Linked DNA regions of Arabidopsis thaliana. The protein of the gene in region 2 interacts with the protein of the main gene of each other region in a biochemical or structural test. Each region holds a gene or a part of one and is shown on either strand. Other genes may lie near its edges.

The links.
Region 1: the proteins of AT4G39270 (region 2) and AT1G07560 form a complex in vitro, tested with the Arabidopsis thaliana proteins (one large-scale study listed by BioGRID).
Region 3: the proteins of AT4G39270 (region 2) and BAM3 form a complex in vitro, tested with the Arabidopsis thaliana proteins (one large-scale study listed by BioGRID).

Annotation. Positions count from the first base shown.
Region 1 is NC_003070.9:2,324,756-2,329,380, reverse strand, and holds the start of AT1G07560 (Leucine-rich repeat protein kinase family protein), read right to left. Parts: upstream 2,067-4,625; 5' UTR 2,062-2,066; coding exon 1,977-2,061; intron 1,836-1,976; coding exon 1,298-1,835; intron 1,210-1,297; coding exon 728-1,209; intron 651-727; coding exon 506-650; intron 401-505; coding exon 329-400; intron 192-328; coding exon 120-191; intron 39-119; coding exon 1-38. Other genes in the region: AT1G07550 (Leucine-rich repeat protein kinase family protein), read left to right, coding at 2,869-2,950, 3,076-3,613, 3,795-4,273, 4,349-4,493, 4,583-4,625.
Region 2 is NC_003075.7:18,274,262-18,278,886, reverse strand, and holds the start of AT4G39270 (Leucine-rich repeat protein kinase family protein), read right to left. Parts: upstream 2,577-4,625; 5' UTR 2,014-2,576; coding exon 119-2,013; coding exon of another isoform or gene 31-118; coding exon 1-30. Other genes in the region: CCR1 (cold, circadian rhythm, and RNA binding 1), read left to right, coding at 3,929-4,036, 4,320-4,625.
Region 3 is NC_003075.7:10,947,284-10,951,908, forward strand, and holds the start of BAM3 (Leucine-rich receptor-like protein kinase family protein), read left to right. Parts: upstream 1-2,289; 5' UTR 2,290-2,538; coding exon 2,539-4,625. UniProt on the Arabidopsis thaliana protein: Necessary for male gametophyte development, as well as ovule specification and function. Required for the development of high-ordered vascular strands within the leaf and a correlated control of leaf shape, size and symmetry.

The DNA.
Region 1 (4,625 bases), on a different chromosome or scaffold from region 2:
GAGGGACTGATCCACTAAGGTTGTTTCCGCTTAAGTTTCTGCCTAGGTAAAAAATAAACATCAACAGACTCGGATAATAAATTGGCAATGTGATTCATATGAGTGACCAAGTAACTTACATGACTAACAATGATTTCATTTTGGCTAGAAATTCAGGTACTCCACCTGTTAGATTATTATTTGAAAAGTCCCTATCATATGCAAAAATGAATTAATTGATTATATGTTTGGCCTTGATAAACAGAGTATTCAAGTAAAACAGAGTATTCAGGTAAAACAGAGTATGTGTTTGACCTTGATAAAAAATTGGCAATGTGTTCATACTTACAATTTTTTAAGCTCCGTAAGATTTTGGATCTCAGGAACTATAATTCCAGTTAGTTCACTTGAGGACAAGTCTCTGGTGGTAATTAAAGATCATAACACACATTTAAAGTGTAAGATGTTACGAAATGCAGAGCTTAACAAAAAACTGTTTTAATGTTACGAATAGCCATGGACGTACAAGGAATGGATTCTTGGTGGTGTAGACATATTGGTGTACTCGCAGGTAAGACCATCCCACAATAATTGTTGAGGAACACATGGATCTCCTTGCCAACTAATTCTACTTAATCCATAGCTTGTTTCTATGCTCTTGATAGCAAGGACTAACACACAATAACAGAATGAAAACACTTAAGTATATACAAAAAAGTATATATATACTCAGATTTTGCTGACATACCGTCATTTGCATTAGTTTCAGACTGCGGAAACTCCACTGTTATAAAAGCCTCAATAGCATTGAGGAGGGGAGGGAGAGTTGATTTTGGAGTTTTTATTAGTTGCAAATGGCATGTCCCTCCTTCACATTTAACTGGTGATGTATTGAATAGAGTACCCACTAGAAACTCGTCAGGACTAACAGGTCCATAGTTAACATCTTGGCCTGCGCTAATGTTGAATTCCCTGGTATCATTTTCCCTTAAGGATTGGATCTCAGCGACGTGGAGGTATGCATAAACTAAGTCGTCAGGTGTTTCCAAATTCCAAGAAATGGTTAATGGTGAACTCACATTTGCAGGTGTGGCTGCCGTAACCACTACGTCTTCCGGTATGTCATAGCCGTTATCATCAGAAGTGTTGACCGTGAGACTTGTTCTTAACAGTCTCCATTCCGGCATGAAAAATGGACTCCAAAGACGATCATGGACATCTTCTGGATACCTGAAGAGAAAGGATGGAAAGTATTACCGAACAGTGTATCCAGTGGAAACCAATCTATTCATTACCAATTGGTTTTGAGTTGGCTTACCGAACAGTTTCTTTGGAATCAGTCAAATGGACGCGGAACAATGTCTTGAGGGAACCAGATTGAGGAATATAAGTATTATTTCTCAATGGTCGTAGTTCTAAAGCTGATATTAGCGGCGTAGTTGTTCCCGTCTTAACAAGACAAATCTGCAAAGAAGTTGACCTTGGTATGTGAATGATTTCCGCCCTTGTTCCGTTTACATTTCTTTGCAAATCGACCGTGGTCCATATATTTGGACCAAGATAAAGGTCGAACTTTGGGTGTGTGTTAAGATTATCGTAGTTTCCATAAGTAAACATGGCTACGATCAGATAGTTTGTGCCTTGTATGACGATAAGAGTATAACAGTTTCGTACTCCATCTGGAAAATATCTCAAAACCGTGTATGGCTTTATATACTCCATCCCCGGAACATTTTGAATCTTGCCGCTTTTTCCACTTTTGATGAAATCGGCGTCTGATGTGAATGTTAACTTTGTTAATGGTTCGGTATAAGGAGACTCATCGGCTTGCAACCCGCAATCCAAACTGATGAATCCTGATAAAGGCAAAAGAAAAAAAACAGAGAAATAATTTGGTAAAAAAATAAGTTTGGAAACTGAATTAATGACTAAATTGTGATAGGAAACATGTTTAGTCAAAGTTAAAAGAAGAAAACCTGAAACAAAAAAAGTTATACCTTGTTGATCTTGTGCTCGAAGAAAATCGGAAATGCCTAAAGACAAAACTAGGAAGGCCAATAGAAGTCCACGGAGGTTTTTCATTTTCCCACCTCTGTCCAAAAAAAAAAAAGGATTACGAATTGCCAATGTACTTGCAATATAAAACATGCCAAATCAAACCTTTGGATATAAAAAACGGATGAATTGTTAAATAATTATTTATTAACTTATATTTCTGCTTGGGGCGGATCATAACGGGAAATATGTCAACGTTCACATACCAATAACAATAAGCCACCTATTGAGTTGGACCGATCTTCTAACCAAATTCGAAATAATTTGTCTAATAATTTGATTATGGTAAGACTTTTCTCAAGTGGAATTATAAAATCTGACAAGTGTGTGTCATGTTTAAATTTTATAAAAAAGGTTTGCAAGTGGAAATTAGTAGAACTGATTGATTCTAATTGGTTATCATCAAGCACACCTATAGTAGATTAACCTGAGAAAATGAGTTATTACCGTGTGTGTGAAGGGATGTCATATTCATATATGGCAAAGTCACCGATCGTGTCAGAATCAAACCACGAATATAAGCAAAAGTGAACAAATGAATCGAGATTTTTAAAATATAGAGAGTATATAACCTGGTTGCATATTTTTCATTTCAAAAATTTTATAATCAACCACTAACGTCTTGATTTATTTTATATGGATATTATACCAGTGGTTAGCTGTTATTATTCGTTAGATAAAACCATGGCAAAAGTTTAAGTTTTTAAAACAAAATTTATACGTAGACGTCACCATGATTAATTCCATTTGCAGCTTATAACACTAAAAATTTGTCCATTTCAAAACTTTGGTAGTAGTAAGTTTTGTTAGTTGTGAACGAAGAAATCATCAAAAATGGACACTTGCACCAGGCTTCTGTTTGCTGCGTGTGCCACTTTATCCATCTTACATCTTGTTCAATCTCAGAATCAACAAGGTCTTTTTATCATCTGTTTTTCTTTTTTACAATAATTTTGGAAATAAACCATTCTAAATTTTTTTTTGAGATAGAACTTTATATAAGAAAAACAATATGTACCTCTCCCTTTTCGGTCTTACCAGGATTCATCAGTTTGGATTGTGGATTAGCTTCTAACGAGTCTCCTTACAACGAAGCAAATAGCAATCTGACGTACATATCCGATGCTGATTTCATTCAAGGAGGAAAAACTGGTAATGTCCAAAAAGACTTGCTTATGAAACTCAGGAAGCCATATACGGTTTTGAGATACTTTCCGGATGGAATCCGAAATTGTTACAGTCTAAATGTCAAGCAAGACACAAATTATCTAATCAGGGTTATGTTTCGATATGGAAACTATGACGGGCTTAACAATTCTCCAAGATTCGACCTCTATCTTGGTCCTAATATTTGGACAACCATAGATATGGGGAAGTCAGGTGATGGAGTTCTGGAGGAGATCATTCACATCACAAGGTCTAACATCTTGGACATATGTCTCGTCAAGACAGGGACGAGTACACCAATGATATCATCCATAGAGTTGAGACCCTTGCTATATGATACTTATATTGCTCAAACCGGTTCCTTGAGGAATTATAACCGGTTCTATTTCACCGATTCAAACAACTATATACGGTACCTTATTTTCACCTTATGCTTTATAAATAACCAAAGTAGATTATGAGCAGAAACTTTAATCTCCACAAAAACTTTAATATTATTGTCATTTAAGCCATCTAGCGTAAACCAAGATTATACAGTATTAATTATTGTTATTAGTTGATGTAAAGTAAAATATATAACTTGATTTTGGCAGTTATCCCCAAGATGTGCATGATAGAATTTGGGTGCCGTTGATATTACCAGAATGGACGCATATAAACACAAGTCACCACGTTATTGATTCTATAGATGGCTATGACCCACCACAAGATGTACTTAGGACCGGCGCCATGCCCGCTAATGCCAGTGATCCAATGACCATTACCTGGAATTTGAAGACGGCTACTGACCAGGTTTACGGTTATATTTACATCGCCGAGATCATGGAAGTCCAGGCCAATGAAACTAGAGAATTCGAAGTTGTGGTAAATAATAAAGTTCATTTCGATCCTTTCCGTCCTACCAGATTTGAAGCACAAGTTATGTTCAACAATGTACCACTGACATGCGAGGGAGGATTTTGTCGTCTGCAACTTATAAAAACTCCGAAATCGACTCTTCCACCCTTGATGAATGCTTTCGAAATTTTCACGGGCATTGAGTTTCCTCAATCAGAAACAAATCAAAATGATGGTATGTTGCCTTTGAACAAATATGCATATAGCTTTTTACACGTATTATTTCTTGCTAATTTGCACCATGTTTCAGTCATTGCTGTAAAGAATATTCAAGCTAGTTATGGACTGAACAGAATCAGCTGGCAGGGCGATCCATGTGTCCCTAAACAGTTTTTGTGGACTGGCTTAAGCTGCAACGTAATTGATGTGTCCACACCACCAAGAATCGTGAAATTGTGAGAGCATTTATTCTAACTCAATGTTGTTAGCAAATCTTAAGCCCTGAAATGTATCTGATGTGATATGTCTTGGATCTTCCAAACAGAGATTTGTCTTCAAGTGGATTAAATGGAGTTATACCACCTAGC
Region 2 (4,625 bases):
TCCAAGAGAATGCTACTTGCTTGAATATCCCTTATTGAACATTGGAAGACTCAAGATCAGTAATGAACTAATGGTGGCTTGAAAGTAAAAAAAGAGTAAAAGGAATGGTTTTTCATACCTGTGGACGACGGATGGTGAGCAATCATGGTGCAGGTAAGCAAGTCCCTCTGCTACTCCCAATGCTATTTTCAGTCTGGTGATCCAATCGAGAGATCTCAATCCGTTGTCAACTAGGGAATTGGATTTATAGAACAATGAGCTTGGTAAATCCCTATTCAGCATGTACTTGTATACCAAGAACTTATGAGTTGCGCTCTCTAAGCTCTTCCCTACGAATGGGATTATTCTCGGATGCGCAAACCGGCTGAAGAAATCCAACTCGGTTAGATAAGCTTCGTTGTTCTTTGTAGATTCCAAGCTGATTCTTTTCACAACGATCTGAACTCCGTTTTCTAGAACTCCCTTGAAAAGATCCCCAGATTGTCCTTTCTTGATCAGGTTTGAATCACTGAACTCCTTGGTGGCATTGAGCAACTGCTGATAGGTAAATGATGATCCAAGACTCCCAAAGTTTATAGAGACTCCTCCTCTTGAGGGAAGTGTTTCATCAGGAGGTAATGGGCCAACACCGTTGTGTCTTCCTCTAGGATGATTACTTGTTGATGATCTGTTTCTTCGACGGACACAGAAACTCACTGTTATTGGTAACACTATGAGAATGAGCATAAGCAATATAGACCCTCCAACTGCAGCAAGTATAACTATTTTCGTGTGGCTTAACCAGGAAGTTTTAGAACTCTTCTTCTCTTCATGTTGTCCGAAATTGTTGAAAGTTAAGCCCTTTTTTGAATAAAACAAAGTGCAATCCGACAACTTCCGCTGCTTCTCTGGGCCCTGAAGACAATTGTTGCTCAATGAAGCTCTGGTTGGCACAAAGTCAGGAATTTTACCTTCAAAATAGTTTTCTGACAGGTCAACAACTTGGAACCTTGTCAGTAAAAGTGTGAGATTGCCGTAAAACATGTTCCCGGATATGTTAAGCATGGAGACAGTAGAATCAAAACTGACAGTGGTATTAGGCAGCATGTCAGAGAAGTGATTTCCAGAAATATCTAGAAACTTGAGCTCCGGTAACGACCATAACCTGGACGGTAAAGCGCCTATGAAACCACTGCCTCTGAAGTCAATGATCTGAAGTTTACTCAGCAAACTAAACAGATCAGGAGGTAGGGATCCTGAAAGGCGATTTCCCGCAATTACCAATGTCTGCAAGTTCCTTAGCCCTTTCAAATCTGATGGAACCGAACCTGACATTCCGTTGAAGCTGAGATCAAGGTCAATTAAAACAGAGAGGTCTCCGAGTGATGGAGGTATTGAAGAAGTCAAGGTGTTACGCGAAAGATTCAGACGCTGGAGCTTTGAGAGTGCCCCAATATTAGCAGGAATCGAACCAAACACCGAGTTTGAGGAAAGATCAAGGATTGATAGATTCTGAAGAGAGGTAAGAGACAGAGGAATATCCCCATTGATCGCATTCTTTGAAAGATCAAGAACTTTGAGATGTGATAACCGAGTCAAACTTTCAGGGATGGTTCCTGTGATTGAACAGGAGCTAAGGTCCAACACCTCTAAAGTCAACAGACTCGATCCAAACAAAGCCGGGATTGGACCTGGAAGATAGAACCTTGAGGCGTTGAAGGAAGCTAGACGGGTGAGATTGACGAGAGAACCAACTGAGAATTCCGGGTTTTGATTCCCAATCCTTGTCCTTCTGAACCCTGAAATGTTGATCTTAGTTACTCTACCATTCTGATCACATTTGATGCCGTTCCAGTTCAGACAAGGATTGCCTTTTACAGGCCAATCTCTGCTTCGTAACCCAAGAGAAGACCTTAACAGCAGAAGCGCCGATTTCTCATTCAGAGAACTTGTCTGTTGCTCAAACGTTGACTCTAACAACAAGAGGAGGAATAAGAAGAAGACCAACAAGGATGTCTTCCTCAGAACCACCATGGTTTCTCTAAACCCTGGTGACGACTAGTACTTCGAAAAACTTAAAGCCATTCATTGCCTAAGATTCAATTGGAAAAAAGCTTCGCGATTTATGGAAATAATCAAATCTCTTTTTTTTTTGGGTTTCCTTCGAATCCGATCAATAAAGGAAACTTTCTTTTTGTGATTATTCAACAAAGATATATACTAAAAAAGGTTCTTCACTCTGTTACCTCTGCGACTTTCTCTGGCAATTACTTTTCTCTGTGCACTTCAGAATCAAAAACGATTCATTGTTGTTTACCAATCATTTTCTGCTGCCTCTCTCTCTCTCTAACTCTTCCATGTTTTTTTTTGTCCTAGATTTAGAGAGAGAAAGATGGAAAGTCTGATATAATACGAAACAGATATTTTTATATAATATTTGATAAAAACTTCTTCTTACAGAACTGTTCTGGACAGAGAAAGCTTCAGACTGGTCAAGAACAGCGGCCGTTCGAAGAAAAGAGAAGAAAGTATAAGAAAATAAAAAAAGTGAGAGAAGGTGGATCTTTCGTTGTATACGTGCACGTTCCCAAGATTTATGGTTCGATCTCGTGACCGAGACGCAGATACAGTAATTGAAAGTGAAGTTCTGAATACGGCGTCGTTTGAGGAGTTTGACTCTCAACGATCCCGCCCAAGACAGCTTAACGAACTCTTAAATTAATATCATTTCAAAAATACTTAAAGTTTCTGCTGACGTTTAATATGATAACCACCATTTTAGTAGTTTTGCAAATAAATAATTGAATTCCTAGGAGCTACGATGCTACTCCATTTCTGTAAATTTTGTATGACAATTATTTTTCCTCGTATTAAAACGACCAAAATATACTAATAATAATTGTGGCTTTATTATGAGCAAAATGATTTAGTTGTCACTCTTATAAAAAGTCGACGATACTTTTTCATATTACCTGCGATATATTAATAATCAGATTTCTTAAAAAAATCTTAGCCAGGTTATTTCTTGTTGAAAAAGCTCTTCTACACGCTTTAGTCAGCATTTTCAGCACAAAAATCGAAATCAAGATACTGAACCATTTGTAATTGACTTTGTATAACTACTACATCTTCATTCTTCATCCGTCTAATTTTGGTATACAAAATAATTAATCCTGTAAAAAAATAATATTCAGACAGTCAAAATATTTCAAGTACAGAGCGAGTGTATCCAAATATTCAATGATTGAAAATTGAATTCCATTGAAAGATTTATATGTTCACATATCTGCACATCTAGCTTTCATTTGAATATCACTTAACATACCAAAATATTTGTACAACAAAAAACGTCTATGCTAAAGTTTGGATATTACAGACTGTAACATGTCCACGATGCTATTGCGATAAGAATCTTTTCATATGAATTTATTGCATGTCATAATTAATGACAAAACAAATATGTAAATCCATAGCACATTATCGTCATAGTCTTTGCATATTATTTCATTTTATTGTTTTACTAATTTCGCCGTCAGATTCATTGGGCCGGAAGTTATAATCTTTCCAATTAAATTAGATAGGCCCAATAAACGAAACTCAGACCCAACTATTGTATGACATAATGACGACGAGACGAAGGACAAAATTGTCATTTAAGGAATAAAAGATATTCTTACAAAGATATTTTTTGCTCGAAACGAGGAGAAAAAATCATTAGTTATCGAAAATGCTCACATGATGTGGGCCTAACCACTAACCCAATTAACCACACATCTTAATCAGAGTAAGTTGAAACAAATCTTTCAGCAAACCCTAGAAAACATGTTTAACCCTAGTTATTACGTCACACCTGTTCTATAAATTAAGGCTGCGTCTTATCACCTCAAATCACATAAGTCTCTCTCTTACATTTTGAAACCCTAATTTCTCTTCTTTTCCCCAAAAAAAAATGTCTGAAGTTGAGTACCGGTGCTTTGTCGGCGGCCTTGCCTGGGCCACCAATGATGAAGATCTTCAAAGGACGTTCTCACAGTTCGGCGACGTTATCGATTCTAAGGTCTGTTACACGAGAGATCGGTCTCCCGGATCGAGCCGATTCCGATGATTCTGATCCTCGACGGATCTGATTCCGATCTGTTTCTCTGTTACTTGATTCGATTACTGTTACTATGTTCTCTCTCGTTCTTTGTTACTGTTACTTAATTTGTCCCATCGGTACGTTCATCTTCCTGCTTCTATGAGCTCGGAGATCGATCGATTTTTGCTTTATATTCATCGCTTTGTTTTATATTCCTTCCACGATTGTTTTTGCTGATGTGTATGATTTTGTTTGTTTACAGATCATTAACGACCGCGAGAGTGGAAGATCAAGGGGATTCGGATTCGTCACCTTCAAGGACGAGAAAGCCATGAGGGATGCGATTGAAGAGATGAACGGTAAAGAGCTCGATGGACGTGTCATCACCGTGAACGAGGCTCAGTCGAGAGGTAGCGGCGGTGGCGGAGGAGGCCGTGGTGGAAGCGGTGGTGGTTACCGCAGCGGAGGCGGTGGTGGATACTCAGGAGGCGGTGGCGGCGGATACTCAGGAGGAGGCGGTGGTGGTTACGAGAGACGTAGCGGAGGTTACGGATCTGGTGGAGGCGGT
Region 3 (4,625 bases), 7.3 Mb from region 2:
ACTTTAGGCGAGTAAAGTTGATGGGGGAGGGCCTCCTCTTTGTTCTTCTCAAATTTTAGGCATCTTAATAATCTAAAAACAAAGCAAAATCGAATAAACTAAAAAGAGCCCATAAAATTGCTAAAGATGGATAGATTTGTTTCAGATTTTCTCTGTTAAATAAATCAACTTAAGGTATTCCATATCACACTTTTCCACGCCAAGTACTTTCGAAGTTCAAACCCTTCTTGCTATCATATGAAAGAGATATGTATTCTTGCTAATTAATTTGTCGACTATAATTTTATAACCCACAACATGAATTTCTTCACCATTATACAACCTGGAATTACTTTATCTATTTTAGATGTTTTTCTTACAAAAATAATAATTTCCCTTTAGATCACATACCACATTGATCTGCTTCCCTAGTTTATCTAATAAATCTGATGAGTCCTTTTCATAGAAATACATATTAAAAATAGAAAAGGAGAAAAACAATCGTAAAGGGGAGATTACGAAATAATTCGATAATAATTGTAGATTGGCATGTACATATACTACTATCTTTTTGCAGGTTCATGGTGTGAAAACTTCGAGGAGTATAAGCTGATGAAACATTGGGTACAGAAACAGAATCCTTGACAGAGAAGTTATTAATTTCTTTCTTCTACGACAACAAAAAAACAAAAGTAGCTGCATGCACAATTACCAAAGATTCTAGTTACTTTGGAGTTTGGTTTGTACTTATTTAGTGGTTGGACAAAGACAATGCATGGCCTCTTAATTAAACCTGATGGATTAGATTTTGATTTTTTAGTTAATGGAGCATAAAACGTTAGAGTGACATAAAGGTACGATGTTTAATTCAGGGTAATTATATGATTTATAGCTAGTACATAAATTCCACCCGAAATAAAACAAAAATCGATTCATGCGTTCGACAAAATGATAAGAGTGAGACAGATGGAAATTTAATATATTAAAATAAAGTATTTCAGCAACATGTGATATTGTGTGTTTCTTAATTTTATATTTTACGATTTCTAAGGTTTTCTTAAAACCCTTCCAATATTTTTTTGTTTTTTTTCTTTCTTAATAATGTTTTAAAATTATTTTGCTTTATTATTTTATTTTTCTAATAATCGAATAGAAAAAATAAATTTAATATGGTTGCCTTTAATGGACTGAATAGACATTAATCACGTAAGAAAAAGCATTGATCTTCAAACAATAAGCTTAAATAGTAGTTATTTTTTGATTCGATAAGGTAATTTGGTTTTACTTTATTTGTTGTTTATTAAACTCACAAATTCATTCAAATTTGGATTGCTTAAGAATGTGTTTTTCATCTTAGTTCAATTTATTCAAATTTGGATCACCTATGTAGAGGATTTCCATATTTCTACAAAGTACAAATCAAAAGGGGAACACAACAAATTTCTATGAATTAATTATTTATTAAAAAGTTATCAACGAAAACGTCTCCCAAGCGTATATACAAAATTAGCATATGCCATAGGTAAATTTAAAGCTTGAAAGTATCATTTTATTTGCAGGAAGCGGCAATTTAGTAAGAAGTACTCAAAGTATCATTTACCAAAAGTATATGGTTTTGGGAAGAGTTGTTAGGGATGTATTCTTTCTAAACAGATGATATGACGATGTTCTTGAAAACTAATGTTAAAGACGGAATCTCTGGCATCTTCACTCGGGAGATATATTAAACCGTTGATTGTAGTTAGCCATGTACTTAGCTTAGTGCACAAATAATCTGCTGCAAGAAATCTTTTTCTATTATAATATCTCTCATTTAAACATTAGAACATATTGTTTAACTTGTTCTTCTAGAAATAAAACTGCTAATTTCTTATGGTAAACTATTTTCCTTTAGATTGCACAATCGAACTCGAAAATCTAGTGGAGACTATGTGACTATGTTTATATATATGAAACCTAAATCAAATTATCCCAATAATTGGGAGACACAAAAGAAAAATTACGAAAGAAAACAGGAAATCAAATCAAAAGATAAAGAGAAGGTAAAAAAAGGCAAGAAGCACTAATGTTTAATATTTATAGTTTTCTCCATTAAAGAAAAAGCGATGATGTGTGTTCTCATCTTTTGTGAAAGTATATATATTGCTTTTGCTTTTCTCAAAAGCAAAAGACTCATCCAACAAGAACAAAAAAAAAAACTAAAGCTCAATCCAAAAGACGAAGAATGCATTGGATACTACAACTTCTTTTTCACTTTTCTTTCAAATTTACAATTATGATTTTCACAATACAGTTTATTCAAAAATAAATAAAAAAACGAGGCATGAAAATAATGATTATCCTCTTCACTTATTAAGCCACTCACTATAAGCAGAGCAACTCCAGAACATAGTGAGCCCCCAAAACATTAAAGCATGATGATGTCTAATGATGATGATCTTCTTCGTTCCATTTCTCTAAATTTTTGGGATTTCTGCGAAGACCCTTCTTCTCTTTCTCTTCTCTGAACTTCAAGATTCGTGTCGGACAAATTTTTGTTTTTATTTTTCTGATGTTACAATGGCAGACAAGATCTTCACTTTCTTCCTAATCTTGTCTTCGATCTCTCCTCTCTTATGCTCTTCTTTGATCTCACCTCTTAATCTCTCACTTATTAGACAAGCAAATGTCCTTATCTCTCTAAAGCAAAGTTTTGATTCCTATGATCCTTCTCTTGATTCATGGAACATTCCAAATTTCAACTCTCTATGTTCTTGGACTGGTGTTTCTTGTGACAACTTGAATCAGTCTATTACTCGTCTAGACCTATCTAATCTCAACATCTCCGGCACTATCTCTCCGGAAATATCTCGTCTTTCGCCGTCACTTGTTTTTCTTGACATTTCTTCTAACAGTTTCTCCGGTGAGCTTCCTAAAGAGATCTATGAGCTCTCAGGCCTCGAAGTGTTAAACATCTCTAGCAATGTTTTTGAAGGAGAGCTGGAGACACGTGGGTTCAGTCAAATGACTCAGCTTGTGACTCTTGACGCTTACGACAACAGCTTCAACGGATCACTTCCTCTGAGTCTAACCACACTCACTCGTCTCGAGCACTTAGATCTTGGAGGAAACTACTTCGACGGTGAGATCCCTAGAAGCTATGGAAGTTTCTTGAGTCTCAAGTTTCTTTCTTTATCTGGTAATGATCTCCGTGGGAGAATCCCTAACGAGCTAGCGAACATCACGACTTTGGTACAGCTTTACTTAGGTTACTACAACGATTACCGCGGTGGGATACCTGCAGATTTCGGGAGATTGATCAATCTTGTTCATTTGGATTTAGCTAATTGCAGCTTGAAAGGATCAATTCCTGCAGAATTGGGGAATCTCAAGAACTTGGAGGTTCTGTTTCTTCAGACCAATGAGCTTACAGGCTCTGTTCCTCGAGAGTTAGGGAACATGACAAGCCTCAAGACTCTTGATCTCTCCAACAACTTTCTTGAAGGAGAGATTCCTCTAGAGCTATCTGGACTTCAAAAGCTTCAGTTGTTTAACCTCTTCTTCAACAGACTACACGGCGAGATCCCTGAGTTCGTATCTGAGCTTCCTGATCTGCAAATACTCAAGCTTTGGCACAACAATTTCACCGGAAAGATTCCTTCGAAACTCGGATCAAACGGGAACTTGATCGAGATCGATTTGTCTACCAATAAACTCACAGGTTTGATCCCTGAGTCACTCTGTTTCGGAAGAAGACTAAAGATTCTCATTCTCTTCAACAACTTCTTGTTCGGTCCTCTCCCTGAAGATCTTGGCCAATGTGAACCGCTATGGAGATTCCGTCTCGGACAGAACTTTCTGACAAGTAAGTTGCCAAAGGGTTTGATTTATTTGCCGAATCTTTCGCTTCTTGAGCTTCAAAACAACTTTTTGACTGGAGAAATCCCCGAAGAAGAGGCGGGAAATGCGCAGTTTTCGAGCCTTACTCAGATCAATCTGTCCAACAACAGGTTATCCGGACCGATTCCTGGTTCAATCAGAAACCTCAGAAGCCTTCAGATTCTTCTTCTCGGTGCAAACCGGTTATCGGGACAGATCCCTGGCGAAATCGGAAGTTTGAAGAGTCTTCTCAAGATTGACATGAGCAGAAACAACTTCTCAGGCAAGTTTCCTCCTGAGTTTGGTGATTGCATGTCACTCACATATTTAGATTTGAGTCACAACCAGATTTCCGGTCAGATTCCGGTTCAGATATCGCAGATTCGGATTCTAAACTATCTGAATGTTTCTTGGAATTCCTTTAACCAAAGCCTTCCCAACGAACTCGGATACATGAAGAGTTTAACATCAGCAGATTTCTCACACAACAACTTCTCCGGTTCAGTACCAACTTCAGGGCAATTCTCTTACTTCAACAACACGTCATTCCTTGGAAACCCTTTTCTCTGTGGATTTTCTTCAAACCCTTGCAACGGTTCCCAAAACCAATCTCAATCTCAGCTACTTAACCAGAACAACGCAAGATCCCGAGGTGAAATCTCCGCAAAATTCAAGTTGTTCTTCGGGTTAGGCCTACTAGGGTTTTTCTTGGTGTTCGTCGTTTTAGCTGTGGTCAAGAATAGGAGAATGAGAAAGAACAACCCGAATTTATGGAAGCTTATAGGGTT